4 linked regions of the Drosophila melanogaster genome follow. The protein of the gene in region 1 interacts with the protein of each later gene in a pairwise test. Each region holds a gene or a part of one and is shown on either strand. Other genes may lie near its edges.

Evidence for each region.
Region 2: the proteins of CG6333 (region 1) and Drep2 interact in a two-hybrid assay, tested with the Drosophila melanogaster proteins (one large-scale study listed by BioGRID).
Region 3: the proteins of CG6333 (region 1) and E(spl)m7-HLH interact in a two-hybrid assay, tested with the Drosophila melanogaster proteins (one large-scale study listed by BioGRID).
Region 4: the proteins of CG6333 (region 1) and CG18259 interact in a two-hybrid assay, tested with the Drosophila melanogaster proteins (one large-scale study listed by BioGRID).

What each region holds. Positions count from the first base shown.
Region 1 is NT_037436.4:17,478,927-17,488,710, forward strand, and holds CG6333 (uncharacterized protein), read right to left. Parts: upstream 7,305-9,784; 5' UTR 7,265-7,304; intron 3,377-7,264; 5' UTR 3,279-3,376; intron 3,198-3,278; 5' UTR 1,940-3,197; coding exon 1,319-1,939; 3' UTR 1,203-1,318; downstream 1-1,202. Other genes in the region: qjt (quijote), read left to right, coding at 436-1,137.
Region 2 is NT_033778.4:9,292,324-9,301,871, reverse strand, and holds the start of Drep2 (DNA fragmentation factor-related protein 2), read right to left. Parts: upstream 7,078-9,548; 5' UTR 6,303-7,077; coding exon 6,090-6,302; intron 4,607-6,089; coding exon 4,336-4,606; intron 3,606-4,335; coding exon 2,440-3,605; 3' UTR 1-2,439.
Region 3 is NT_033777.3:26,034,741-26,039,668, forward strand, and holds E(spl)m7-HLH (enhancer of split m7, helix-loop-helix), read left to right. Parts: upstream 1-2,297; 5' UTR 2,298-2,422; coding exon 2,423-2,983; 3' UTR 2,984-3,279; downstream 3,280-4,928. UniProt on the Drosophila melanogaster protein: Participates in the control of cell fate choice by uncommitted neuroectodermal cells in the embryo. Transcriptional repressor. Binds DNA on N-box motifs: 5'-CACNAG-3'.
Region 4 is NC_004354.4:18,779,846-18,786,320, reverse strand, and holds CG18259 (uncharacterized protein), read left to right. Parts: upstream 1-2,826; 5' UTR 2,827-2,945; coding exon 2,946-3,025; intron 3,026-3,087; coding exon 3,088-3,608; intron 3,609-3,665; coding exon 3,666-4,407; intron 4,408-4,463; coding exon 4,464-4,545; 3' UTR 4,546-5,056; downstream 5,057-6,475. Other genes in the region: CG6891 (uncharacterized protein), read right to left, coding at 5,127-5,243, 5,317-5,640.

The sequences.
Region 1 (9,784 bases):
ACATTTAAAAACTTAAATAAAACGTTGTTATGCAAGCATGCTCCGGTAATTGAAATTTTTTTTGATTACGCAATTCAATGGCAACCTTCGATATTTGTTCCCCTGTAAATAAGATCTGATTTGATATAAAAAAAAGGCATTTACTTTTTATTTCGACCAGATAAAAGTGCCCGTTTTACAAATCGAAAAATTCGAACGAAACGAAAACCGAAAAATCTGTGCTTTCGATTTAAGATCGATATCGTAAATTACGATAAATTCTCGATGATTCCAGTTTTTAAGCGATTACATTCCACGTGGCATTTGCTTAAAAACCTAATTTCAGGTAAATATCAACGTTATTTATAAATATAAGTCCATTCAAAGACCACTAATTAATAGGCTAGCCTAACTAACCATCAGTCTTGAACATTTGGCTTAAATATTCTGGATAAAATGGAATTCAATTACCTTGCTGATTCCGCACTTTCCACTTTAGTGGAAAACAAAAAGTTCTTCAAGGAAATGTCAGATTTCGTGTCCGATTTCAGCGATGGCGGGAAGATCAAGAAGTTGCTCGAGCAGAGCGTTGAGCAGAGCGTGGAGCACGCCGTGAATGTAGTCCATATGAAGATAAAGCACCAATCGCTCAACAAGGCTATGAATCAGGTCAAAAACTCTAGCGCCACCATCGAGGAGTTCGAGGAAGTCTGGAAGGAACGCTCCAAAGCGGTGGAGCAGAAGCGCATCAATGTCAAGAATCTACACGAGTTCAAGAACTTCGTAAAAGCAGTTGAATCAGCAGCTGGTCAGGCGGGTGCGGAAGTCAATGATCAAGCGAATGGCACCGCCTATGATGAGGACCTTATTATGGAAGACTCCGGCAGCGAGGTCTTCTCGTTCTACGATCCCTGGTCCAAGGCCCTGATAAAGAACCCCATGCGCAACAAAATGTGCGGTCACATCTACGACCGCGACTCGGTGATGCCGATCATAATGGACCGCATTGGCATCCGATGCCCGGTGCTCGGCTGCGCCAACTTGTGCTACATCCAGCCAGATCACCTGGTCCAGGACGCCAATGTCCAGCAAAAGATACAACAGAGCATGTCTAACGCGATCGTGGATGTAACTGCCTCGGAGGAGGACGAGGAATAGAACAGATAATGATTGTGCCCAACTCCGTCCTTGTTGAGAATTAACTTAGTAAAATAAAATAAATTCATTGTTGCCATTATTTTATTTTATAATAACTTGTACTTCTATTAATACACATATATGCTAATTTAAGCTGACCACAAAACCCAGTGAAACCACAATGTACACACAAGAATACGATTCACAACATATTCCTGTACCTACTTGTGTTTTCATTGGACTTCTTGGTCGAATGCGAAATTTTCTTGGAGTGAAGATACTGGATCAGCAATTGGTTGGCCGAAGATTGCGGCTTCACTTGGATGTCGCTCCTTTGCAGCTTCTCCACGGCACCGAGCATGTCCTGGCAGTGGTGGCCAATCCGCTTGGCCCGATCCCTTTCGACACTGGCCAGCACCTTTTGCAGATGCGACTCCAGCATGATGGCATTGTTCTTGATGGTGGACACCTGGCGCTCATAGTGCGCCTTTATTCTTTTCATCTCCCGCTGCTGCTTCTCGATGCGACGGGCCTGCATAAGGATTATGTCCGCCAGGTTTTGGCGATCGGTGTGATGCTGCTCTGCCTTACAATCCTGCTGCACCAGGACACCAAATTCTTCCTCGGAGATCGGACTTCCTATGCGCTTCAGGCTGGAACTCGTATTCCGACCGACAGTTTGTAGAGACTGCAATGGTTTCCTAGATGGCCTGGAGGACATCTTCTGAGTCTTTTGCCGCGTATCTAAAGTTCTTCGGGAATATGGCCTTTCATTCGGCAAACCAGGCAATCCATCGTTGCAAATCCTCACGCCCTTGGTCATTTTAAACAATAATTTAGCCACTCGTGAATTCGTTCTGACTCTTAATTTTATTCGAATTAGTTCAAATTTTGTCGATTAAGTGAGGGCAAACGTTGTTTCACCTCTAAAAATATTTAATGGTTAATTGAACTCTTAAGGCAATTCTGCGTAATAAATAAGCAACTGAACTGTTTACTTTTTTATGATATAAATGTTCGATTATGAATCATGCAACACTCAAATCTCTGCAAATATCCTCAAATTGGCGGAAAGTGAAAAAGTCGATCACTTTTACCCTTTTTTTTGTAACGATACTGACCAACTAATCTCAGTTATTTGAAAGTACTATAAAAACCACAAGCAAAATGACTGCAATTTGATAAACTCAGGTTCAAGGTGGGCTCATTTTTGGCAAGATCTGGTCAGAGTTTTCATGATTGTATGGGTTGAACCAGAGTTGAAAGTGCCACGCCCATCACTTGAGGCGACCAACCACACGCAAATAACCATATATGTATGTACATACATGTATGCATATGAATATTTAAGTAGGTACAACAAATTTGCACTTCTTGTATACTTATCTTAATATCTCTTAAGTAAATTTGGAAATAAGGAAAAATGTTTGAAGTTTCATACATTGCTGTCTTGGTTAGAGTATTCCAAAACCATTGATTTATGTTTTCTCTGCCTTTTGGTAAGCATAATTTGTATATTTTTGGCCGCGATGCCGCACACTTGATAAGGGTTATCGATATGCCCATGGATATATGCATGCATTATGTGCGACTGATCATTATTTGTTTTCTTCCCATAGCCTGTGCATCGCATTCGCAAGTTGTAAATTATTTGGCAGCAGGAAGCGGATTTCGTTTGGTTTTCGGGGTGTGGAAGATGGATGGATGGTGCTGGCCGGCGAAAAAAAAGACATTCTTAATATCCTGAATACTCATAAATTCAAAGTACCCCCTTGAGCCATAATTCAAGCAACTTCCTCGAATAATTCGATTCACAGTCCTTCAACACAATGCCAAGGTCTGGTCGTTTATGTCACCATCACTGCCTTCGGCTTTCTATGCTTCCAGTATATTTCTTAATATGACAAACTTCTTCCCACTTATGCAATTTCCATAAATTCAAGGTCAGCCATACAATAAAAGTCCAGACATCAGATACTATATACAACATACCCGGCACATGTGGACATTCGTCTGGCTACTTTTTCGGCAGCCAAAAGATTGAGGAAGAGTAATTTTTCGCCAGAGATGAGCGAAAACATCTGCGGATCAAATATATACATATATTTTAATAATAATAATTTTAAAATTTTTAATAAATAAAAATGATAAAAATAACTCACATTGATTACGTTTCTAATACAAAGAAATGAAATCTGATAAATCAAGAGCTTTAAATACCATAATGATGTTCATCCAAGAGATTCCAATGATACTTTGCCTAATAATTAAAGTCAAATCAAATTAAAAGTTAAAATCGTTTTGGCAGAAAACTGTTAGTAACGATAGATAGTAGTTGAAATGAGAGATTAATACAAATACATAAAATTGTTATCACTGATATAGTTAATGACAATAGTTAAAAGGCTATAAAAGGGTACAATGTAATTGTGGTACTTCAGATAACAAGGCCTTTGAAAATGTTGATTTTAATTAATTTTAATTTTTAATTTTAATTTAGCCATTGTATGTCTACTATACCAAACAAAACAAGAACTTAATTGGGTTTTTTGTAGTACGAAAAATTATGTGGAACCTTAAACATATAAATAAATTTTATACAACTATGTATAATATTATTTTACAAAAATAGCACAGCATTCTTGTGTAGTGAATCAGCAGGGATAATAAAAACAGTAAAAGATTAATAATGTATTAAATATAAATAATAATTATGAATAGGCAAGGAAACTCCATACTTGTAAATGTATAATTTAATTATTTATTTAATTTGGCTTGCATCAACCAGACTCGCTACTAACTGCCAGCTCTATAAATCCCGCATATAATATATACAAAATTCGGCTTTGAGAGCGACATTCCCTCACACCCCTCCGACCCCTTTGCACATGCCGAAAGATGATATCAAAATGCGAAATCAAAACAAAGACCCAGAATTTCGGCAGACTAACCCAAACAACATAAAAAAAAGGTCCAAACCCGACTAGCATCTAAGCCAAGCACAAAGGAACCACGCAGCAGACAGGGAGCAGACAGGCGAACCCCAAACCCAAACCAGAAGTCCAGGGCCTTTTTCTGTCTCGTTCTTTTTTATATATACTTTTTTTTATAAGCCCCTTAGAAGCGTAGACTTCGGCTAGACGAAATTTGAGATGTCTAAAGGACGAAGGAAAGGCAATCAGAACAGAAAAGAAGGAGGAGCTGTCAAGTGCCATCGTGGAAAAAAAATGGAGAAGCAGACGCAGAGCTTGCTGGATTCGTTCGATTTTGTTTCTATCAATTTCGGTTTAATTGCATTTAATTTGAATTGCAGACATCGAAATCAGGTTATATATTTCGTGTTCGGCTGTGCAGCTTGATTTAATTTGCCTGCTAGACGGCCAAAAATCGACGTAGATATTGCGCAATTTGCTCACCCCGAGAGCAACAATCAAATGCACTCGAAAAGTCAAATAAAAGTGAATTGATTTATGGGCTTTTTGTTTGTTTGCACTAAATATTCTTAGAAAAAATATGGTTACCCGCATAAATCAGAAATAATTACTTGAAAATACCCTCATTTGATAGTATATAATAAAAATAAAAACCGTAGAATCTGAAATTCTTGAAGTCTTGCATTTTATCGAAGATTTCAAATGAAAACTGCTGTTTTTGGCACAGTTTTTCCACCCTCTATTGTATCCTTGCCTCGATTAAGCACTTGCGCATAAATCTGCAGAGGAATCGCCAAAAAGCTGTAGCTTTAGACAAGAATCAAAACATATGAAATATGCAACAGGCCAGACACTTCGGTCGGAAATTTGCTTTGCAAATTCTGCTGGTTTTTGGCGACAAATTTCAATTTAACAATCGAGCACAGACATCCGTTCTGGGTGCAAATCGCAGATATATCTATATCGCAAGATACTGGGAGATACAAACGCGCACCAAGTCGGATGAAAGAACCCTATGCAACATAACTCAGCAAAGCAAACTCAGATTTCCGACAAGGGAACCCCCCAGCTCCTACTCGCTTCCAAAAATTTCTGACTTCGACTCTGAGTTATTAAAGAAACGCCATCGAGTGGGGGAAACAAACACAAAGTTTGTTATGTTGCGCAGGCGCAGCCCAGCAACGCCCTCAAATTCAGGGACTCAACATCGGTGGATCCATATGGGGATGCATATGGGGGAGAATCAGAAGGAGGCATCCGCACAATGTTATTGACCCGTCCCAACGGATCCGTTAGCCATCCTCCGCCCGAATGCCCCGCCCCGCCGCAAAAATTCTTATTAAGATCAATCAGCTAAATGTCGGTTTTATGCTTAATGCTCATGATTCACACGGGCAGAAGAGTCCAGGAATCGAAACTCCATGTGGCAGGAATTCGACTTTCAGCCCCTTAAAACACACCCACTGGTACTCTAATATGATGGTTGGAACTTTCAATTGCAAATTCACTATTTAAGAAATAATTAACAAATTATTGGCTAGACTATAAAAAGCATCTATTCACATTCATTTCGAATTTATTTCTAACTCTTTTAAACATACGTATTATCTTTAAATATTTACATTTCTTATAGCTTAAGAAATCTTGTTGTACTTATTCTGTTAGTTACTATTACCTACTAATTAATTCATATTTAAAGATTAATCTTTATGGTTAGTCTGACAAAAATCAAATGCATATTAAAATAGTATCCGAATAAAGATACTTTCAAGATAATTCTCATTTTCCACTTATCCCAAATGCTAAATTCAAATCTCACGTGTCAGCTAAGTTACCCTTCGCATCGATTCCAACTCCAAAAAAGCATGTCCCAACAACTTGTGTGCGAATATAAATAAAAATGTGCATTTTTGGCAGCCTTTACAAAGTTGTCGGCACGTTTTAATGCTGAGAATTTGAGCAGCTTTTTGCCTTCTTTTCATACTTTTTTGGTTACTTAATTAGTCATGGCAGGCACACTCGGGGAATGGGGCGACTCGGAGTGGCAGAGGCAAGTACCCTTATAACGAATGCAAACTGTATTCGATCGAGGAGTAGAATCGAGTGACTCCGTTCAGATCTTATACAATAGTTTTCCCACCCCCCGCATTTGCTTATCACCACTGACACACATTATAGGCCAGCTCCGACTTTTGATCCGTTCTATTCGCTTCAAACTCATCCAATTCATAAGCGTGCTTCCTGCTTTCAGTCAAGATTAAATAAGAACATTTCCCCATCCAATTCCCCTTTCAGTAGTAAAATATCAAGCTCATTAAAAATTAACAACAATTAGGGAAATCGCTTAAAGAAATAAGAATTAGTAAAAGTAATTGTATGGCAAGCTTTTGCTTTTTCTACTTTTTATTTTATTAGCAATAAAAATACCTAATATTTATAGGAATATATGTAATATACAAGTTCGTCATAAGGAAGCCCCACTGCACATACATACCACACCACATTGTGTGCAACACATATAAATGTGAATGTTTATTCCATCTGACAACGGTTAGCGATAAGCCCAGCGATGTAGTCAATACAACAAACAATAAGGAACACTTTTGGAGTTTCGTTGTCGACTTTGTCATTATTTGCTTGCCGTTTGTTTACAAGCTGAAACATTGACACACACACATCAGCTGCATCAGCTGCTCGTGCCCCATCCCACCCACCAACAAGCCCACTCAGAATGCGTAACCCCCTTCAATGTGGAAGCTCCAACACCCATGGGTTCATCTGCGGGTTATCAGCAGCGGATTGCAACTAGAATTGGTTACAAAAAAAGCGAGCCACCGAAAAGGGAAAACAACATTCATCCGGCGGCGGCGAGAAAAGCAACCGCAAAAGTTCAATGCACATTTCGAGGTGAATTTGTTTTTGAGCTCTCGCTCGTCTCGGCCTGCAATTAATTACACAAATCGAACGAGCGTGTTTAACTTGTTTTCGCGTCTAACATGTCACGTAATTAGCCGTCTAGCTGCGAATCGAGCCGATATCGATGGGAGTTTGCCAAAAGAGTAGCCAATAGATACGGCTGCGCCATCGCCTGCGTTGCACTCAATTTGCTTGATTATTGCGCACAGACTTTGCATGAGTACGCGTATCTGACAGTTTGCCTATCTATCTGGCCGCTTGGCAGACGACCTTGCGCCGAATATGCAATTGATACGTACTTTGCACATATGAATATTAATAGGCGACCAGAGAGTTACTCGAGGAATTTCGCAAACTGAATTCCATTAGCCTCCAAGACTGTAGACTATATTGTAAAGTCAGTTGCACCGACAGACAGCAGATGCATAACCTAAGAGATAACCCTTAATCGCAAAAATCACTTGGTAAACACACAAAGCAACTTATAGAAACTATTTAGCACGTTTTGCAAAAAGTATTCCTTTTTAGTACTTCGCTGGAACTAACTAAAATGTAACGAGCATTAATGTAACGAACATTAAACCACCAAAATTCCTCATCATAAACACTTTTCTTTGAAATGCAAAACTTTCAGGCTTTAAGCTGTTCCTCATGCCTTAGTGAAAATAATGTATAGCTCATAATAAGAAATTAATCAATCGAATCATAGACTTAGAATATCCATCACTTCTCTTCACTTTTTTATATTACCCACCCCACCCAGACGAAAAATCTTGGTTGAGTCATTTGCAGAAAATGTATTTTATTGTACATATGCAACAATAAATATTGTGTACTACATGTGATTCGTAAGTTAAAAAACACTAAGCCAAGCTAAGAGAAAGTCAAACTTGTCGAATTTCAATCAAAATAAAGGTCTTTCTATGAAAGAATTGGTACTTCTATCAAAACCACTTCAATTATTCCCTTATAAACGTAATGTATTCTAATATTCCGGTATGCTGAAAGTTTAACCCAGGTCGATCTGTCTGATCTCCAAAATCCCCTTTCCAATTTGATAAAAGAGCGCACGCCACTGATAACAAACAGAGAGAGCAGCCGAACTAACAGAGCCCTAACAGCGTGGGGGCCTAACAGAGCCCCAACAGCTCCAAACAGCTGCGCTGCCGACGTCGACGTCGGCGCAGGCGAAAAGTTTTGGCTGTTTTCAGTTCGCCAGACCGTTTTGCGTATTCGTATTCGAATTGTTACCGTGTGCGGACTGTGCCGACGGGCAGCGGAACTCAGGCGGTGCAACTGTATGTGTGCGGTGCGTGAGAGTGTGTGTGTGTGAGTGCGAGTGGGGGGCGAGAGAGATAATATGTACATTCGGTGTATATATACACATGTGTATACGTATTATTTCTATACGCCGCGATCAGACAACAACAACAACACCAACAACAATGTGGGTCGTGCATATTGAACATATGCAAATAAAACAAAAACAGATAAATGCCAAAAATCTACTACACTTTTATAACCAAAACACACAGAGCGCGCAGAGAGAGCGGCAATAACGATAACAGCGGAGACAGACCACCCCCACAGCGAAGAGAGAGCGTAAGAGAGTGACGGTTAGAAGTATCTTTGAGATACACTAACACAAAGAGAACGCGTATCTGTATCTGCATCTGTAAATGTATCTTCTGGTCTGTGTTTTTCGACTCCTCGTATAAATTGAGCCGCACTTTGGTTATTCTCGAGTTTTTGCTGCTCAGACGTCGCTGTAAGTGCACGCGTCGCTCGACTTTTCGGTTCCGCTCCGCTCCGAATCGGTTTCGTTTTCGGTTCCCAATACCTCCAATATTCCCTGAAAGATACCTGTGTCCAAGAACCCAGTTGAATCCACACATTTTCGTCGTGCAAGTCACAGAAAAAAATTATTAAATTTCTAAACGCTCAATACAAATATTTTCGCACACTATAAAAATATTAAAAAAAAAAAAACTGGTTGACAAATTTGTCTGATCAAAAACCTAAAGAAACTTGTACGAAAACGAATAAAACTAATAACATATTAAATAATCTCGTTTTTGAAGTTCATTAAAACCACACTTAATCAATAAATACATCATTGTTAAGATCCTCAGACCATTTTAACAAAAAATTAAAGTGCCAATTCCATTTTCAGTGAGTGCTTGATAAATTTGTTGTATTGAAACCCAACCGCAAATACAATTTTCAATTGGCTGAGTGCGTGTCTTCAACGCACAAACATACGAATATAGCATTTAATATTGTTCATTATGTGTGCAATTAAATAAAAAAAATTGTGTGTGAAATAACAGAAAAACGAGTGCGGCGAACAGAGGCAGCAACAAATTAAACGCGTAAATTGCGTAGCAAATTCTGAATGAAAAAATTCAACAAAACCAGAAAGCGAAACAGGAGCGATAAGCGTAAGTACAGCTTTAATAAATAAATTGTATATGTTCATAAAATGACAACTTTTTGTGACAACTTAAGAACTTAGAGTTGGATGGCAATTTAGGTTTGTCAATAATAGAGTATAAGAGTATAAGAGCTTTGCTTAAGTGAATATTACTTAGAACCCCAATTAACAATTACTTCAACTTGCATATATATAGAATTTGTTTATTTGAAAATGTGTATTTCCCAAAAACAATTTTTGTATAATGCATTTAAGTCTTGTGGCGAAATAAAATTTCAAAGAGAACGATCAGTGCCAAACAAACATGCAGAACCAGAAATAAGCTCAAAATTCATGGAATAACCTGATTTGGTTTCTTTTCATTTAATTGGGCTAAAGAAATTTC
Region 2 (9,548 bases), on another chromosome or scaffold:
TATTACTAACTCAACCGCAACCAAGGTTCGTGTATGTAAGTGTGTGTTTGTTCGTTTAAAGCGTTATCCTCTATAGTTAAGTGTTAACAATGATTATGATTATGGAAGTCAGCTGAAGAAGTCTGTATCGGTTTTGAAGTTGAGTTACCATCATATTGCGAGTTCCCGTCTTATAACTATGTTATGCATAGGTATTTCCGTTCTACCTTCCTCTCCTCAACCTCTATAACTCGACTCCCCTCCCTCGTACTCCGTCCTTTAATCATACATACATACACATGGAGATATATTCATCATCGAGTTTTGGGTCGCTTGTCGTTCTCGACTTACTAATAAATTAAAACAACGCTAATGAATTTTTTTTTCGTCTCGCTAATTGTGAGTTCTCGTTTAACGTTCTTCTTCATCGCCTGCTCCGCTCTCCACTAACTTTTCATTTATTATCGTTATCAATCAATTATCAATTTCAATTTTCATTTATACATACTAGGTTTTCATTTAATCTTTTTTCGCTTCAATGCTTTAGTTTTGTGCCTTGGACAAATGTCTGTTAAAAGTCGCTTTCTTATTCCACTTCTCGATTCCGTTTTACATTTAAGTTAGTTTTGGTTAGATGGGAGTACAGTGTTGGCTGATCTCAGCATAAGGTCTTAGGATCTAATTGCGCAGCGGAAGTTTCTAAATCGAATGCACACAGATCTAATCCAGGACACAGTGACTAGCAACGTAGACCAGCTACGTTTGCAATGGACTACCTATGACGACCCTTTCTGAATAGCAATCCCAAGTGGGAGATGCCTTAACAATAAGAACTCAAGTCTGCAGTAAAAACAAGTCTAAGTGACATTAACAAAACAAGTCGAACAATGATGTTATAATAATTTTCAAATATCAACTATAAAGTATAAACTAGGAGCATAATATATTCAAACAATTCAGAGAATGTTTAGGTTCATTGGTTAGTTTACCCACACTAAAACGTACGTGCTTCCTTTCGATAGTATTATATTCATTACGTTGGCACATCCATCGCCTAAACCTTCCATGTCCTTGCCAAGAATCCTCCAACCCAGTGCTCTCTCAATTTATCCCGATTGCTTGATACCCGTATGGAACAGTCAAAGTTCTGGAAGTCGAAAGCCTAACCCAACGAATGTGGATGCAGGTGCGAATGCTAATGGCGATGTTGGCAGTGTTTTCGCTTTTACGCATTTTTCAATTACGATTTCGATTGCGATCGTGTGATGTCTTCTGATACATACTCCCAATGGATCTACGGCTGATTCTGTCGGCCATGCGGGGGCGGTCTTTATCTACTACACATAATTTTTTAGTCTGTCGTCAGGCATTTGGCGAGCATCGAGCATCATCGAGCGTCTTGCTTATTGTTTCTATTCTCTGTGTTTAATTTTAACATTGTGCGCGATTTGTTGAACGTTTGACAACACTACAAATAACGGCAGTTTTACATGCTGATGCGGATGATTTCCGGAATTTCTTTGGGGGCAGAAATGCAACAAGATTAACAAAGAATAGGCCACTAACAGAGAGTTACGCTGTCCAGGAACTATACAAATGCGGGTTGGGGGTTCGTTAAGCAAATTAAAATGAGGAACTCACTACATAGGAAAAGAGAGACCGACCAACTACAATTAGACCCCGCGTCATCATCGTTTTTCTGGCAACAACATTTTATAGTCTCTGTTATCTATATCTCTTTCACAACTTATAGTCTTTGGGGTTAGATTAGATTTCCTGACTCGAGTGGCAGTCTGTTTGTGGGGCTATCCAACTAAATAAGGCTATTTTGGCACACAATCACAACGGAACACGGAACATCTATTGTACAACAACGATAACAACACAAGGATGGCTGATTTGGGGGCTTGCAACTGATCTGTGGGCTAAATTTTGGGGCGTTTGAATTGAATTTTGCGAATTCAGAATTCGTTAAGCTGGCTGCAGACGGTGCAGTGATATTCTTCGACGTCTCCAACCAGCCATGCTTCTGATTTATGGTAACGTCGGTCCCCGTCAATGAGAATATTGGATAAATGCTACAAAAACTGCTCTTAAGTGGTTCGCGCTTGTTGCTGTTGTTGTGGGCATGGGTGTATGTGTTTCTGGGTGTGTGGCTGCTTTGCTTTCGCCTTTTTATAATTCACGTTTACGCTTACTTCACTATTGTACAATGTGCGACTTGCATTATTATATTCTCGTAATTATTTTATATAAGTATATATGTATATATGTATGCATGTTGGTGTGTGTTTGTGTGTGTGTTCTTGTGTCGAGCTGCTGGGCTACTCTTATTTTGGGTTTTTCCATTTTTTCGTTTTGGTTTCTGTAAAATGCGCTAGTTTATTGATACCTTCTGTGGCGCCCAACGTGGGACAGTCATGAACCTGTGGGTTTGCCCGTCTGCCTGTCATTGGCACTCTAAATTCTGTCCTCCTCATCCTCTTCCTCCTCCTCCTCGACCTCCTCGCCGTTCTCCTCTAGCTCCTCCTTGTAGCCAGGATGCTCAGAGATGGCATAGTAATTGCCATTGTAAATGACGCCCAGTTCGCGCAGCGCATCGCCGCGTATTGTCGCCTTTATCGTCCAGTTGTAGCAGTCGTCTGACTCGGACTCGCGATCCAATCGCTCCACGTCAAGGATCTTGGAGTTGAGGCGTTCCAGTATGATGCCGATGTCCTTGATGCTGAGGTGACGCTTCTGGTCCACCGACAACTGGTCGATCAGCAGCAGAAACTTCTCCGTCGTCGTCTTGTCGTCCTCCATCACCGTGTTCTCCGTTTCGCTCTCGGAGCTATCCCGCTCGGGAGCGATGTCCAGGAATCGCACATGGCCCTTGGCGCCCGAGGAGCGGCGTTGCATGCTGCCGCTTCCGCCGCCACCGCTGCCGCCCAGCATAGGATCCATAACCGATGGTGCCGACTGCGGCTGGGGACTGCTGCTTCCGTCCTGGATGGGCGACGTGGCCACGCTCTTGTGCACAGCGATCTTGCGCCCCTCCTCGTGCAGCGCACAGCAGTGGAAGTCGCACTCGGTGGTGCTGGGACTGCCCGCCCTGCTGGGCGTGTGGGCGTGGTGGGCGCATTCCGGCGTGTGCACATGGACAGCTCCCACACCCACGCCTACGGTGCTGTCGAAGGAGCTTCCCTGCTTGGAGAGTCGCCTGCTGCCGCCGGGTATCACAACTCCTGGCGGCAGAACAACGCCACCGGGATGGTATATGCTCGCCGGTCCGTCGTCGCTGATCACCGTTATTTGAGGGCTGGCATAGCGCGGCTGGGAGGACTGCGACGACACCGACTTGTTGTCCAGCGAACTCTGCGCGGAGAGGCCCTTCTTTGAGGGCGAGTACTTATCGGACGACAGCAGCCCATTGCTGCTGCCCAGGCCGGAGCACATGCTCCCCACTCCGCCGCCGGCGCCACCGCCTCCTCCTCCGCCGCCGCTTCCTCCACCCTGCCGCTGATCCCAGTGCAGAACGACCGTGACACGCCCTTTGTTATCCATGATCTTCCACGACGGTGTCTCATCGTGCAACTCCAGCGCATGAATCGTCTCACAGACGATTTTCGGTATAGCTGATATGGCTGTAAGAAAAATAATAGAATGAGATCCGAACCACTGAGAAATCCCAACTGAAGTTCAGTACGGAATGATGAGAAGGTCAACTATCGCCTCAAAAAATAGCTAATACGATATTCACTTAAATAGACTTGTATAAGAATCGGACGACCATGTTCTTGAAATTGTAATGACTGTCATTTAAATCTCTAAATAGCATTTTTCTTTTGTTTAATTTTTACGTCTTACGTTTTTGTTTACAATTCAATGCTAGCAGCGGAAATCTTAATAGCTTGCCAACGCATTAAAAACATGCTGAAATTTATTGCATTCAAGATCCAATGTGTCTCAAAACAGAGGATATAGTCCAAAGAATTGTTTAAATTTCTGTTCTTTAGAAATTGAATAAGTTCAGCCAACTATAAAAAGAATTTAAATTCATTCGCAAACAATTGACCTTGAAATCAATTCAAACAAGCCACATTGAAAGTTGTGCTAAGTACTAAAGTAAATGCTTGCTCTATGAATTAGTTATTCAATTTGAATGAAATTGAAAGAGTCTTTGATCAAATATCGAAATAGACTTTTTGCAAATATTTAGCTATAAGGGTAAGGCTCATAATTTACGCAGTGATAACTTATTTGAATTTAATATTGAATCTAAATGAATGTTTCCTCTGACCAGGTCTAAATCTATAATTAAATTTCCCGTGGCCAGTACTGATCCCGAGATGGGAGTGAACTTATTACACCCACCAGCCTTTATGACATCGACGCCAGTGGGATACCAGCGCTCGCCCTGCCTTAACAGCAGCAGCACCGTATTGTTGGCCAGGGTGCGAAAGTATTCGCCATCCTCGATTTGGGTTCCATCACACTCCAGAACAACGCGCACCGGTTCTGAAGCAGGAACCCCCAGCTTATCCTTGCCGCGGACCAAGAGCTCCTCGAAGGTCCCAACTACGACGCCCTTGCGCACATTCCGCCAGCTGTCCCAGATTTTCAGTGGTCTCTTGCCGCGAGACTCCTGCGAAGAGAAATTCGGATTAGTTGCGTTTTACGAATTACAATTCCAACTGCTGGCGAAGGAAGGGAAAGTGAAAGCTGAGATGTGGGAGGATGGGGATGTGGGATGTGGGATGCAGGGTGCAGGGTGCAGGATGGGCGTGACACCTGTGAAACGCTGCGCACGAAAAACTGACAAGTGGGTGTGGCAGCAGGCCCGGACTGTGTCATAATTTCCTCAGCCCGCTAATTGGGCTTCTCTGGCTTGGCCAAAAAGGGCGCAAATGTCAAGGCCACAACTGCTGCACTGCTCATATTAATTGTAGATATCTTATGGAATAAAAGTTGAAATAAATCCACGGCCCTCACATTCGAAATAAAGCAAATGCAAGTGCTAATGCTTGAAAATGGAAACATATATGTACATATAAAAAGGGCCAAAGAAAATTGAAAACGAATCCTTTTGGCTAACAGCGCGCACAGCTGTTGGCTAACAGTTGCAGGCAACAACAACAACGACCAGCCAGCCAGCCAGCCAGCCGAGCAGGACGAAAGCTGCAATGTTTAATGTATTGCAAGGACATGAGTGTGGCGCTCCAGTGACCCAGTAACGAGTGCAGCACACGAGCCATATACAAATATCTCTCTTCGGCCAACCAAGCCCCCAAATCCCCCGATCCACCGATCCCCCAGTTCATTCCCCGCCCGTTCACCCAAAATAAAATGTTTGAAAAATTACAAAAAATTCATGTTGACATTTTGCTTATTCCTCCGCACCGAAAACAAGCAGAAACTTTTCATAAAAATATTTCATTTCCCTCGCTCTGGCCAGTGTTTTGTGTGCTCTACTCGCCGCCTCATCCCTCTCCATCCAAACCATCGCACCGATTTTCCTCTTGGGATAGGTCAGTTGCTGCACCCCAGCACCATATGGCACCGAGGGAGTGCAGCGGGTCGGGGATGTGCTGGCTATTATAAATTATGAAACTGATAATACTATAAACAGCGAGCACTGCCAGTTCTAAGGCTCGATAAATCATATTATGCCGTAAAACAATTGTTGGAGAACTGGTTGAATATCGTAGCACTTTAAGATTGTGTGACTTAGCTTTAAAAAAAGGGGAAACTTTAGAAAACAAGTGGGTAATAGTACCTAAAGAAAATGTATAACATACGCTAAAGGTGATGCTTTATCTTCCCTAAGTAAAATAGTAAGATATTTCATTTCATGCAAGAAAAGAGGCAAACCAACCACCAACAGGTTGAATAATTTCAAATGAATTTCCAAAAACCATTAAACTAGTTATTGAGCAGTATTGCCCAACAAGCTATTCGATTAACCAGTGTGAAATGCATTTGAGGAGGTATTTAGAATTGGAGGTGGAATTGGAAACCAAACTGGATAAAGGACGGAATAGATTGAGTTTGATCTAGAAATGAAGGACATTTGCAGTCGATGAAAGCTAAACACTGAATAAGTATGGGTCGCAAAGCGAAACTATTACCATTGCGGACAGTCCGCCGTTTGTGACCGACGACGAGGGCCCCGTTGTGATGGCCCCACCACCCACTCCGGCCCCACCCGCCGCCGCGGCAGAGGCAGCTACGCCCTGCGTGGCCTGGGCCGCCGCCGCAGCTGCGGCTGCCACTTGTCTGATGCTCAGACAGTTGCAGAGCGGCTTCGTCACGCCCAGCGTGCACAGGGCGTTGGACCACATGGTGGTGCTGGTGGTGCTGTTGGTGGTGCTGCTGCTGCCAGCCACTTTTAGGCCGAGTCTCTGCGCTGGCTCTGCTGGCTTGCTTGCAATGGTTGGCCTCGTCGCTTCCAAGGTCGTCTTACACTTGGAGCTCCAAGCTCTGGTAATCCATGTCCGTTTTAAAAATCCGTTATATAAACCCGTAACCGATGTACGCCTTACAAAATCCGGAGTTGCGGATGCTTTTACCAAAAGTTCTACAAAAATTAAAGCTTATTGCTTATTGTTGGAGTCATAAATGCCTTGCGTTCAGGGGGAAAATTCGTAATTACAAAAATTGTTAAGGGGGTCACGAAAAAAAAAACGCACTTTGCACAAAATACAGCTTCTGGTATAAATGTTATCGTCCACGTTATTTGGTTACTTTAGTTTGTTGTAAATACTGGCAGAGTTGAAGTGCCTAGAATTTCGCTTTTCACTGCTCGTACTTCGCATTCGCATTCGCATTCGTATTTTTGGGGCAGGTCAGGGCGGGTTGACCTTCGCACTTTCACTTTACGGATACTACGCGCCTGCAGCGCCCTTTTGCCCGTGAAACCGCCGAGTTTTCATTTTCATTTGATGCTGAGTCCCAGTTATTAGACTTAATTATAGCTCGTTTTTAGAAACTTGATTTTGTAGAAAAACGCTTGATTTGTTTAGTTATAGCACCCAGTGGGAACGTGGTGTTTCCACGGGCCAAAGCAGCGTCCTTAGCTGCCTGTGTGCCTGGCAGCCTGGCAGAGCAAACTGTGAGTTTTCCCGACGAGATGCTGCATCGGATTTCACTACGGTAGCAGCTGCTGCTTCTGCTGCTGCTTCTTCTTTGACTTTTGGGGCTGGGTGCGTTTTTGCAGCGCGTTAACAGCGCTTGAAATGAGCACGAGGCATAAGCGCGAGAGAAGTGCAGTGAGAACGAGGTGAAATGCAGCACAAAGCTTTGCGAGAGCGAGTAGGACAGGTGGAGGAGTGGGGGTAGAAATCCCGTTACTACTATCTAGTCAATTTAATGCCTTCAGTTTTTAGGTCCCCAATTAAACCGTATTTGTTTTATCCACCCCACTATTTCCCATTTACTACCTTTTTTTCCATAATTTTCGATGTTTTAACAGGTAAAGATATTTCGTCGTGCTTTGGCCTACATTTGCATCAATGTGATATAATCAGGACGCCAAAGCGCGCGCACCTTCTCCCTCGAAACGCTTTACCAGCATTTCATAAGATCCCATCAGTTTGATTTTGTAAACATTTACTTCCAATCAACGGCGTTCAATTAATAGTGTTGCTATTGGATTGTGTGCCCCAGGAAAATATTTAGCTTTCTTTTAGACCTGATCTTGCTCGACATTTAAACTCTAGCATTAAACATTGAAGTCTTTTAATAAAAAGGGTGAGACAGAGAGAGAGTGATGCACTTTTATATGAAGCTCTCTACCTCTCGCAAAAGCATTGCCAGCTGTAAATGTGAATGGATAACAGAGCACTAAAACTCCTGTAATTGCTGCTGGCCGAGATTTTTAATTGCAGTAAGAAGAAGGAGAGATAAAGTTGTTTTGTTTATCCTAAATAATGCCAGATCAACTGCCAACTGAAAGCCATCTCGGCTGCATTTTTATCAGCTCTTAAAGGAATTCCAGCGCTTTGGGAATTCGCAACTAATTTATTTTTGGAGACATCCTCTCAAAGCAACAATTTTGGAAAGGCCAGAGAGCGAAATTCCTTTCAAAGGGGGCGCGAGAAGAGGAAGAAGAACAACAGTTGCAGCCACACGTGGGATGGAGGCGGCGGGAAAGGAGGGCGTTGGGGGAGTGGCACATCTGTGAGGCGTAAGTATTACCTCAGTTATTTGGGTCAAAGCTATTCACTCACCCGCAAAGCAAAACGAAACGAAGGAACTGCATAAAACATGCACAAACACACACACATATGCAGAGCAGGAGCTTGAGGGACACGCACACAAAGAGACTAATGCGGGCCACAGGCTTAATAGGTTTCTCTAGCGGATGCGGACGCGAGTGCGGAGCATCCGCAGCGATACGCCTTGCTAGATACACTCGCCAAAGGTTGTCATATGAAAAATTCACATAGATGGAGCAGAGTGCCTGTAGTTTAGGCCAGGCATGAATCGTATCCATTGCACCCATACTCAAGCAGCAAAATAAAAATTTGCCTAATCTTCTCTAGAAGTTGATTTATTCATGCATCCTGTTGTGTTGCTCTATAAAGAACCTATCTTTCGTTCAGCTGACCACGTAAAGAACAAAATATCTACAAAGACCAAGTCAAAGAAATATTAAAATATATTATAAATTTTACTTTGTTCAAATTGCATGTTATTAAAAAAAATCTATTACCTAGTATTATTTTTGATTATTTTGTTTCTACTGCTTAATTAAAAAATTCATTCCTACAGAGAATAATTATTTGTTACACGCAGCATTTTTATTATTAAGTTGTAGTGTTGGGTTAAACTTCTTTGGAAAAATATGACATAGGGTTAACTGTTTTAATGTTGGGAGAGGCTAACACCGTTGGTTGCAGATGTGAATGATGGGGGATGGTGATGAAGTGAGAACAGCTGATTTTGGCAAAGTAACTTGCGGTACCGTGGTGATCGGGAAAACTAAAACGGTTAAGCCGTAGTTGCCGGCTTTGCTTTGCTTTTAGCACGTTTGCACTTACCTCTCTGGCCATTACGACATGTTATCACCAGCGGCACCCGCTTAGAGGGTCTGCCATTTGCTCAGCGGCAATAACAACAAAAACAACACGGGAGCGCCTCTTAGAGCGAGGGAGTGGGAGAGGCAACAACAAAGCACACGCTTTTCGCGATACGAGAACTCTCGTGCGTCTACTTAAGTATGTGTGTGTGTAGGCGGCAAGCGGTATAGACGGAGAGACAGAGAGAAAGAGTGTGGGAGGAGTGTGTGCGTGTGAGTGTCTCAAAAATTCTCTACTACACGTTTATTTTCAATCTTCTCTTCCCGCACATTTCTCCAACGCGCCGATGCTGTTTCGTTCTTCCTCTTGCTTTTCTATCCTGTCCTTTGGCTTCCTTTCCTTCTTCCTCTCCACACCAATCACTGCGTGGGTATGTGTGTATAGGTGTGTATTGGAATTCGCAAAGGTATTTGATTAGGAAAGCTGGGATTTGTTTAAACAATTAGCATGCATCACTTTTTGCAAATTTGTTACAGTAACTTGGGTCAACCCACGCCCACTTTTATA
Region 3 (4,928 bases), on another chromosome or scaffold:
ACACGGCCAGCAACGTCGGTTGCCCAGCAGCAGCAGCGATTATAGCGATGCATTGACAATAAGCCAACCCCGATGCGTGCCCAAATGGTTGCCCCTACTTAATAAAAAGTGGAAAAAACAACAACAAAAGCCCGGAGCTGGCCATGTGCAGCTCGAGAAATTTTCTCACAGTCGCCAGAAAAATTGTAACGGCCCGTTGTTCAGCACACTCTCAGCACGCAGTGCACTGCACACACACACTTCCTGCCGCAGCCAGCGTTCCTCAAACCGGCCACGTATATTGTTTATATAGTTAACGAATGCGATACATTTAATCTTTAGTGTGTGTCAATTTGCCGTACAGTCATTTAGTTTGCATGTCCCTCGTCGATCCATCGAACAATCATCCCTTTTTCTGGGACCTGGGTCCCACGATGATGATGTCCCGACGTGAGCAGGAATACCATACGCGTATATGTATGCCACTTAGCGATGGACGATCCCAACCGATGCCATCCGAAACGAAACCCAGGGCCCAAGTGTTCAACAGAAGCTACAATTCAGCATTCATAATTGACAAGAGCAGGAGCGAGGGAGAGGGCGATATGTGTAGGGCCCACGATGGACAAGAAAAAATTAAATAAAATAAAGGGCAGGTGGTAGTTTTTTCAGCACTACCCGTGACTCGCACTAGCAGCTCGGTCAGATTTACAGTGGTTCGAATGGAACGAAAATTGGTTGAAAACAATTTAGGGTCTTGTCACAATCTTTAGATGCTTTTAGCTACAAACTACAAAATGGTTTCTTTTTTTAGAAATTTTTTAAACATCATAACCTGACAAGAACATCTTTTCCAAATATTTCTTTATTTCACCCATCTGGGTACAGTAATCCCATACATAGATATTCTGTAAACTGCAACCTTCACGAACCTTAATGTTTTTCAAGACTCAGGTTCCCACTCACCGTCGCAGCTAACAAAATTATCCGTAGCAAGTAGAAAACACCTTTCACAAAAGTCCCTATACTCGGACTATATATGCCTAGAAAAACCTCTAGGAACAAATGTACCTTTCCAACATAGCAGATAGTTTAGTAAAAATTCTTTACAAGTAGAAACACATCGAGAAATCCATAAACACTTACTCTAAAACCTGCAAGTCGTAAAATTGCACGCATGTTCCGTTTGGTAAAACCCCAAAAATCACATTCGAAAACTCACATTCCCACGACTTTGAATAGAGGTTCTCAAATTAACCGTAGCAAGTTGAGAACAGGCAACAAAAAATCCGTAAGATACTGATTTCCAAACCTGCGAGTCCCAAAATTGCACACATCTTCGCCTTGGAAAACCCCATTTCCGACATCCCAAAACTCGCATTCCCACGATCCCTACAGAAATTGCTAAAACTTTGTCTAGCAAGTAGATAACAGTATGCGTAAATTCCGTAAACCTTAAATTTCACGTAGTTGGAAAAGCCTTGAAGAATTCATTCAAGCAAGGCACCCTCAAAATTCCCGCATGTGTTTCATCGGTTTGGCCCACTGTGCCATGTGCATAAGGGCTCGGAACTCGGAGCTCGGACTCGGGACTCGCACACGGGCTACCTCCGATTATAACTTATAACACCAACGAGCGAGAAAAATCTTGTGGGAAACTTGAGGGCAAAGTGTTTCCCACGATTCGAATGTCAGTGGAAAGGAAAACAGAGAAGCAGCATGTGCAACCACCGTCGCACCACCACCACTGCACTATCGCATCTTCATCCCCTGCCGAGACTCACTTACACCGAACACCAGTGGCCATAGCAATAGTACTGAGAACATATTTAAAGTTCTAGATAATGTTTATATTTTCAAAATCACTACTATTAAGAAGTGTGCTAATTTAATTTTTTAGGTGTAAACGTATAACATTATGTTAATTTCTTTTTGTTTAATAAAACGACATTTAAGTGCTTTAAGGGAAACCCATTTGAAGTAATTGTTAAAAACGTAACGTACTTCTTAGGTATATAACAACAAATTTGTATATTCGCTCGAAGAACTATAGCTGCTTTAAACACATTTCTCATACTATTTTTACCGCAGGTGTGTTCCAAACTTGTTTGTGGAGAAAAACCCACCACCGAAAATGCAGGCGAGAGGATCGTGTCCCAGTGACTGAGTAAAAGTAGTTTGCTCCGCAGGTGGTGGTTCTTCGGAGGCTCCGCAGCTCTCTCTTCTCTCTTTCTCCGAGCAGCGTGCGCTGAGCACGAGACGCTCTCGCGGCGGCACGTGCAGCTATAAAAGCAGCGGTAACCGGAGACGAATGCAACATTTCGAACGCAATCGTCGTGCAGTCAACATCTCAGGATAACCTCCTCCGAAAGATCGAAGAAGTTCTTCAACAAGTCGTTCTTCCATTTACCTAAACGCAACAAATAAACAAAACAAACACACAATGGCCACCAAATACGAGATGTCGAAAACCTATCAGTACCGCAAGGTGATGAAGCCCTTGCTGGAGCGGAAGCGTCGTGCCAGGATCAACAAGTGCCTGGACGAGCTCAAGGATCTGATGGCCGAGTGCGTTGCTCAGACTGGCGATGCCAAATTCGAGAAGGCCGACATCCTGGAAGTCACCGTGCAGCATCTCCGCAAGCTGAAAGAGTCTAAGAAGCATGTTCCGGCCAATCCCGAACAGAGTTTCCGTGCTGGATACATCCGGGCAGCCAACGAAGTGTCCCGCGCCCTGGCCTCCCTTCCCCGAGTGGATGTGGCTTTTGGAACCACACTGATGACCCATCTGGGCATGCGTCTCAACCAACTGGAGCAGCCCATGGAACAACCGCAAGCCGTCAACACTCCACTCAGTATCGTCTGTGGATCCAGCTCTAGCTCCAGCACCTACTCCAGTGCCAGCTCCTGCTCCTCCATCAGTCCCGTTTCCAGTGGATATGCCAGCGACAACGAGTCTCTGCTCCAGATCAGCAGCCCCGGACAGGTGTGGCGTCCCTGGTAAACAAAGATCTACTTGGAAGGACTGAATTCCCGACGGGCAATCACGCAATTGGAACCGCAGCTTTAGAAAAAATGCTTTACAATGATCCTCATTTATTTGTTACGTTACCAAGTTTTAGGTTTCTAAGTTAAGTCTGTGATAGGGCACGCTTTATTAACTTTTGTCTTAAATCAATCGAGCAGAAGTCTGTTTTTTACTCTACATATATACAAATGTTTACCAGCTAAGAGATCTCAAGAACACAATATGAAAAGATACAAAATGAAAAACTTAAATACAAATCAAAATATGAAATGAAATTATACAAGAATCTTATTATTTGGGGAATCTATTTTACAGCACAATCCAATAGGGGATATTGAACTTCAGTATTTGTCTTTAAATTCCAATAGGAAGAAGATTCCATTGAAAATATTTAATGTTGGTATGCGCGAACTTTAAGGTCCAATATAATAAAACGATCGTGTGCACTAGCTTATTTAGGACACGTGTAAAAAAATGGACTTCCCATAAATTATGTTCATTATCTTAAAGCCCATCATTATCCTAAACGAGCTATATTAATAACAAGTTTCAATAACAGTTAAACATAATAGCAAAACATGCTCCACTAATGTGCACTTAGTTGTCAAGCATGCATTTAATAATAAAAAGGAATTTAATTTCATATTTTTAATGGTCGTTATTTTTCATTTGCACGATGTGTTTACTTATATTCTATTTCAGTAACTATTTTGTCAACAGACTATGAAATGAAAGTATTTGACATCCTTTAGCACAATACAATACATTGTTATAAACCTTAAATGCGGCATTATAATTTTTCCACCAATAAAAGGTCAATAAGAATGGTCAAGAAACATACAAATGAGTTTCAGCACGCGTCTCGATTACTTATCACACATTATACCCTATTATATTTAATCCCTTAAAATTTATTCTTTTACAATTAATCAATTAAATTACATCACATATTGAGGGTTGCAATAGCATTACGTAAAATCATAGGTAAGTGTATTCAATTCCAAATTCATACCACATTATTAACCTCTGACACCCAAAATACTATAAGAAGTGAGAGTATCCCTCCCCATTACAATAATCAATGACGTTGTTTTCCACCCATAAAATGTCAATATTAAGAACCCTCAAGATTTGTAAGGGAGATATACAAATCCATCTCAATTATTAAGTGAGGAAGTAGCATACCCTAGGCGGTTGCAAGGGAGGGACACAAATCCCATAGGTAGGCATCGATGTCAGAGGTCGATTAGTTTCCTAATAGAAACAGAGTTTATAAAAGTTAACTCGAAAGTGAAATTTACTCAATGGAATTCTAATACACCATACTTGCATGCGAAACCCAAGATTCCGAAACCAAAAGCACTTAATATTAGCTAATTAAAAATGGGTTTAGAAAGATACGCCAGACATTATAAGTTCCTATTAACTAAATTCAAAGAAAACTTTTGTATCCTATGATTACTTTAACAATCTTATTAGGATGAGCCACACATTGAACAAACCACATTTACCATAAGACAAGATATTTGAAAAGTGCACATCAATTAACCGGTGAAAAATTACTAATTACCAATTAGGGGGTTGCAGGAAGTTAACTATGTGCATCCCATAGGTAGACATTCCGGCACAAGGCCCACCTCACCTCAGCCTGGGCATTGAGTACTCAACCTCGGCCACGAGTGTGGCACGCGGGGCACACTTTCTGCGCCCGTTTGACCCACGTCCCCCTGCCAACCACCCAAAAACCCGAGATCAGACAGCCCAAACGATGGAACGATCGAACAACCAAGGCGACCCGGCACGAAGCCAATATGCCACATCCACTAATTGTGTCCAATAAACACTCGTCGACGGGGCACTGTGGGAACGGAAAGAGGAGATCTCAGAGTTCGCAGTTCGGAGGTCGGAGCAGGAGTAGGGG
Region 4 (6,475 bases), on another chromosome or scaffold:
AAGTGAATTCTGCCATGTCTGTCCACTTTAGAATTTTGTGTTTAGTGAGTAAAATTTTTGTCTTATTATCATAGAAATTCAGCAGTCCCACTATAGACACAACAAAATGTATGGTATAGAAACTGATTTTACAATTGCTTGTATAATATTTCATAAAATGTACAGTTTTTAAATTTCATAAAATTAATTCATAATAATTAAAGAGAAAGGAGCAGTTTGGTAAGCAGTATATATAAAGTAACTTGGAGGTTCAGTGCTTCACGGAAGAGCTCAATGTCCAGCTCGGCCTCCACTCCCGCCTGAAGTTCCACGGCAAAATTCTGCAAAAGATTAGTGATGAGAGGATCTATTTCTGCCTCTGGGCTCTGGCATCTCTAGCTATTGGCTACTCACGTTGAGGACATCCTTGATCAGCGCCTTGTCCGTGGACATCTTGGCCCGCTGGATAACGCCCACCTCCTGCCCGATCCACGTCAGGAAGATGAACTTTTTGTGCTTGGACATCTCGTCACCCATCTGGTTGCGTATGTAGCCAGCTGGATCCCCTAATCGGTCTTCGGACCTGACCACGGCTCTCCAGAACAACGACCTGAAGTGCATACTCACCAGGATGAATGGCAAGATAAACTTGCTGCTATCCGCATTTGAGACTTAACCGACATAACCGTCACAAGAGAGACCAAGAGCCTAGTTTCTGAACATTCAGCCCTTAACAAGATGATAGAGTTGTACGAAGGGGTCACTAGCGAGCACCGCTTGACGAGCATTGCTACCCAGACTAAAGTACAAAAGCCTACCAAAAACGCTTCTCACAATGCGCAGGTGTCCAAGGGACAAGTGCCCAAAGTTCTGGCGCTCAAACCGCACGACTGGTAGAGGAGAAGGGAAGGCGACATCCAGATCAAACGAGTCCAATACAGGCAGCTACGCATCTGTCGCCAAGAATGCTAGCACGAGTGCATATTGGACCAAGGTGAAGCCTATGCGCCCGCGTAAAAAGCCTGAGGCACGGATCGTGAAGAAGACGGGTGAGGCTTGGTACGCAGAGATGCTCCGGAAACTAAGATCGGACCCGAGCCTTAGCGAACTGGGCAGAAGAATTCGGAGAACTCAGCTAGATGAGCTGTTGCTCGAAGTAGTGGGAAAAGCCTCGGGAAGCTTTCCCAAGTATAAAAGCGATCTAGAGGCGACGGTCAATGATTTGGCATCTGTGCGGCAGCTCAAAGAATAGCACTATCCTGCAGTGGACTGGACGAGGATACGATAGTAGAGGAGCATCAACAGGCCCTTGGGAGTAGAGCTGCACTGTTTTGCAGACGATGCGGCAATTACAGCAGTCGCCAAAACAATTGCAGAGTTGCAGGACAAATGTAACACCACGATTGGAGCTGCCGTCCACTGGAAAGCCGGGCTAGCAATAGCGGCTCGCAAGACCGAAGCAGTAAGTACTAAGCAGCAGGAAAAAGGTGGAGAATATGCTAGTCCTCTGTCAATGCGACACAGGTGACCTCCCAAGAGTCCCTCAAGTACCTGGGTGCTATGATAGAACCACGCGAGTTACGGCAGCAAGAATGCATCAGTCACAGTTTCTTCATTGGCTAGACTGGTGCCCAACATCGGTGGTCCAAGCTATCTGGCCAGGAAACTGGCTTCGCTGCTGTACGCTGCACCAATCTGTAGCAATGCTACAAGCAGGGGTTCATACCTGAAAGGAGCCATGGCCCTCAGGCTCATTAGAGGATTCAGGACAATATGTGAAGACGCGGCACTAACTCTGGCAGGCCGCCAATTGATCGGAGATCAAGGCTCTCGGCCTAAAGCGGGGTGGCGCTTACCGACGAGTGGCTGTTGGGTGAGTGGCAGAACAGGTGGTCTTACCAGCTCATTCCTGAGTCGGCGGTTTGGGCAGAGTGCCAACACAAATGCTTGGACTACCACCTAACCCAGTTTCACACGGACCATGGCTGCATTCGGGCCTATCTACGTCGATTGTTCTGCGTCATTTGTGAGAAAACAGAAGAGCATGTGCTAATGCACTGCTCCAGGTTTGCGATGGAGAGGGAGCAGCTAAAGACGAAGTCAGGTGCTCCGTTCAGCCCTAGTGGCTTGTTCGCAGCTATATTGGCAAAGAGCGAGGCATGGGAGCTGGGACACAGTCTAATCATTAAAATGATTAAACGTGTCCGATCAGACGAGATGGCCAACAGAGAAGGTGGCTAAACCCGAACAGGTGTCCTGTGTGGTGGCGAGTGAAGAATACTACCTGAGCGTTCCCGGCTTGTCGTAAAAAGCGACTAAAGGGTGAAAAGAGGCGCACTCATGGCCTACACTGAAGGAAGAGAGTGTGAAGCCAAATTCTGTTCATCGAAGTCATACAATGGCAGTCCCGGTGAGCGTTCAAGGACTGAAGAGCACACGGAGGTTTTTGTTTTAGTATGTGGTGTTGTTTTTGTTGTTGCGCAGGTATCAGTGTTACCAGACCAGACGTCGGCTAGCACCTAAGCGCGATTGTTCTCGGTTGTGCGAAGGGGCACACTGTGAATTAGTGACTCGTAATGTCAGTGGATAAAACGTATTATGTAGCTTAATATATCATTGACAGTTCTGAGAATTTTCAATCTTCTACAAACTAATGTTAAGACATGCAAAAATTGTTTTTGTAAATGAACAAGTAGTTTAATAGTATTAATCGTATATTTGTATAAGTGTTAGTATATTGCTGTTTCTTTTTTACATTTTATATCCAGAATAACATAGATGTTTTTAAGCGATAGTTGCTATCGATAGTGCTGGACGATAGTTTGCCACCCCAAGTGTCACCAGTGAAACGCCAGTCCTATTTTTTTTTTACGAACGTAGTTCGAATAGTCAGGATAATTTGAATCTGGTTGTTTTTACTTCACACATAGCTTAGGAAAAGGTGTGAAAAGCGTATACTGTGAGCCATGGACATCGATTTGAGTCTGGACGAGATTATAGAGCGGAAGCGCGGGCAACGCGGCTATCGTCCCCTCGACAGAAAGTTGTAAGTACATTTACAGGACAGCCGAAAAAATAGAATGTCACTCAATGCGTTTTCCATTGCAGCAATGCGAACTTCTCCAAGCCGCGCCAGCTGCTGAACAAGCCTTTTTTCAAGCCATCGGGTGCCCGAGGATCTCACTCTGATACGCCGGCAAAGCGCACCTTCGATGCCAGAAACACGATCGCCGCGAAGACACGGGCCAAGATAGCCGATGCCCGGGATCTGATCAACAAGAGCGTGCGCGACTCGGGCATCGATGCCCGCCAGCTGTTGCTGGAGCGAAAGAAGGCCCGTTCGGCGGGCCCAATACTTATTGATGACGAAGAAGAGTCGTTTGAGCCATCACATCGCGCACGCGGAAAGGGAGTGCACATCGGTCAGTTTGGTCACCGCCTTAGCATGTCAAACCATGCGGACGGCACCATTCAGGCGAAATGGGACTCGGACGACGGGGTCGTTGAACTGGGTAACCACATGTTGTCCGGCTTGCGTCGAACCTTTGACCCCAGATCCCATAAGCCGGGCAAACCCTTTGCTCCACGACGCTATATTGATCTTGATAATATGCAGGACCTCGAGGATGGTTAGTTAGTGCCTTTCTCTGCCAAGCCGTTCCTAAAAAGCACTCTTCTACTTTCAGAGGAAATATCTCGCACACTGCACTTAGGGCAAATGAAGCAAGCGTCGCCACGCTACTCAATTGGTGGGCTCGACCTGAACCGCGGCGACGACGTGGAGATGTCCATGGCCCCACTAAATAACAAAATAGATAACAATGCATTCTCCATTTACGAGGCGGCCCGCAATCGCATTGAGCGTCCTTCGCTGACCAACCGACTCGTAGTTGGACGCTCAAATACCACCAAGGAGCCTCTCGAGCGCCGCCACCGCGACACAGCAAGCACAAGTAAACTCCCAGAATCGCTGCGGTCTCGTCTGTTTGTCGGTAAGAGGGATCCTCACATTTCTCATGGCATCTACGCCAACGAGAACCGGAGAAAGGCTGTTGGTGGCGGTGGTGCTAGGGATAGCGATAGCGGTACTGATAGTGATGGTGATGCAGCTGCTCCATCGAAGAACAAGCGCCGTTCGCCATCCCCATTGTCGCTGCGTACGTCGAACACAAAGGATGGATACCGCCTGCTGGTGAGCAATCTGCATACTAACGTGACTACTGCGGATATTCGCGAGCTTTTTAGCGACATCGGCCCAGTGTACGACGCTCGTGTGGTGCGTCCCGGCACCGCCGAAGTTATTTACAAGTCACTGGAACATGCCGAGAAGGCCGTAGATACCTATCACCATCGTCAGTTCGATGACCAGCCCATGCACTGTGTGCTGGTTAATCCGCACTCCTCCCGTCGCTCGGTGCACAAAGCCAGGTGAGTGATATGCTTTAAAGATACCAAGCAGTATTGTTCAACGTTCTCGGCCGTAGCTCTCGCACCGTGACCACAAACTCGTCTGGCGTGGAGGTGGACATCGATGCACTTCACTCGGTACTCTTCAGGGTCCGCTAGGAAGCGAGAGGCAGAGCCCGGGAACTAAAGCAACTAGATAATTTTTCTCATCATTTTCATCATCTCCGTAGTATTTAGTTCAACAACGTAGTCCATTTTCATTTCGCGCTTATTAAATTCGAATCGATCCATCCAGCGTATGTTCAGAAAACCAGACTAGTTTAAACGAGAACATTTCTTTACTATAGAAACTTGAATTTTCTAATGCAAATTCTGGCATATCTGTCCACTTCAGTATTCAGTATTAGGTGGCTAAAATTTTTGTCTTATCATCAAAGTAATTCATCAGTCCCACTATATACACAATTAAATGTATGGCATTGATAATGATTTTGCATCCGCTCTTGAAATTTGGTATTGAAAACTTTTCTTTTACCTTTTTTGAATGACACTATGGATTATGATTATACGATAAATAAGAGGACCCAGTAATGTTACAATTGCTTGTATAATATTTCATAAAATGTACAGTTTTTAAATTTCATAAAATTAATTCATAATAATTAAAGAGAAAGGAGCAGTTTGGTAAGCAGTTAAGAGTTGCAAAAAAAAATGTATATGTAAAGTAACTTGGAGGCCGCTTAGTTATCCCGGATGCCCGTTCCGTAGTTGGCGCCGCCGGCACGGTTCAGTGCTTCACGGAAGAGCTCAATGTCCAGCTCGGCCTCCACTCCCGCCTGAAGTTCCACGGCAAAATTCTGCAAGAGATTAGAGATGAGAGGATCTATTTCTGCCTCTGGGCTCTGGCATCTCTAGCTATTGGCTACTCACGTTGAGGACATCCTTGATCAGCGCCTTGTCCGTGGACATCTTGGCCCTCTGGATGACGCCCACCTCCTGCCCGATCCACGTCAGGAAGATGAACTTTTTGCGCTTGGACATCTCGTCACCCATCTGGATGCGTATGTAGCCAAAGGCGCGCTCCGAGTCGCCGAACTGCTGTCGGAATTCCTCAAAGCACTGACCGCGCGCATGTACAATAATCTGGGCGCCATCGAACTTGAATACCGCCCACTCGGTGTCTGTCAGATCGGAGCGTACATCCTCGTAGGCCTCGCGAATCGAGTCCTTCTCCAGCGACGTGGCCAGCGGCATCTGCGAAAGAGCAAGGGGGAAGAGGATTATAAGCAAGCGAAGAGGGGAACTATAAGCAACTTTCAGACGGAAGTATATATCTTAATCATGTATTCCAAGTCCGAATCGTTTCGCCAAGGCGAATGGATCATCCGCTTTGGCCCATCGATAGCGAAATGTATTGTATGTACTCAATGCGGGGCCAAGTACTCTTGACGGCGCCATCTATGAGTCAGATTTAAGCGGTGCTTTCGCTTTCGATGGTTATATTACATTCAATTCGACTTGTTTCCGTGTCAGGCAACCTCAAGTCGGCCAGGGGAATAGGCACGCCATTGCATCGCCCACTTGCATTACGTTCGGGCAGATTCACGGAAAGCAATTTGTTGCCGCTTTAGTGCTTTATAAACATAATACCAGCGGGCCAGCGGAAAAGTAGCCAATGTAAATATGTACATATTTCGAAGAAAAAATAAAGGCTTTATTATGATAACATACTGGAACATACCCGCATATTAAATTACAGCATTTTTGATAATGATATCAGCACACACATATGAGGGTTCAGGGTTCTGGTTCAAAGCCCAAAAATATGATGATTTAAAAATATCGATATGTAAATGAATTTAAATTGCTTGATAAGTTCGAATGGCTTGATAGTGAAATGTAAAAAACCAAGTCTCAATACGATTTTGGTTAGCTAAAGATTAATTTTAATTGTGGTTTATTAAGTGATCTTTGGGGTAGCATTATGTGCACAAAGTTAGGCTCAGCTTAGATGCGTGGAAAGCGTGTAAAGCGATTGGATCGATGGTTTTTGATACGAGTATACTTGTAGTACGGATCGGAAAACTAC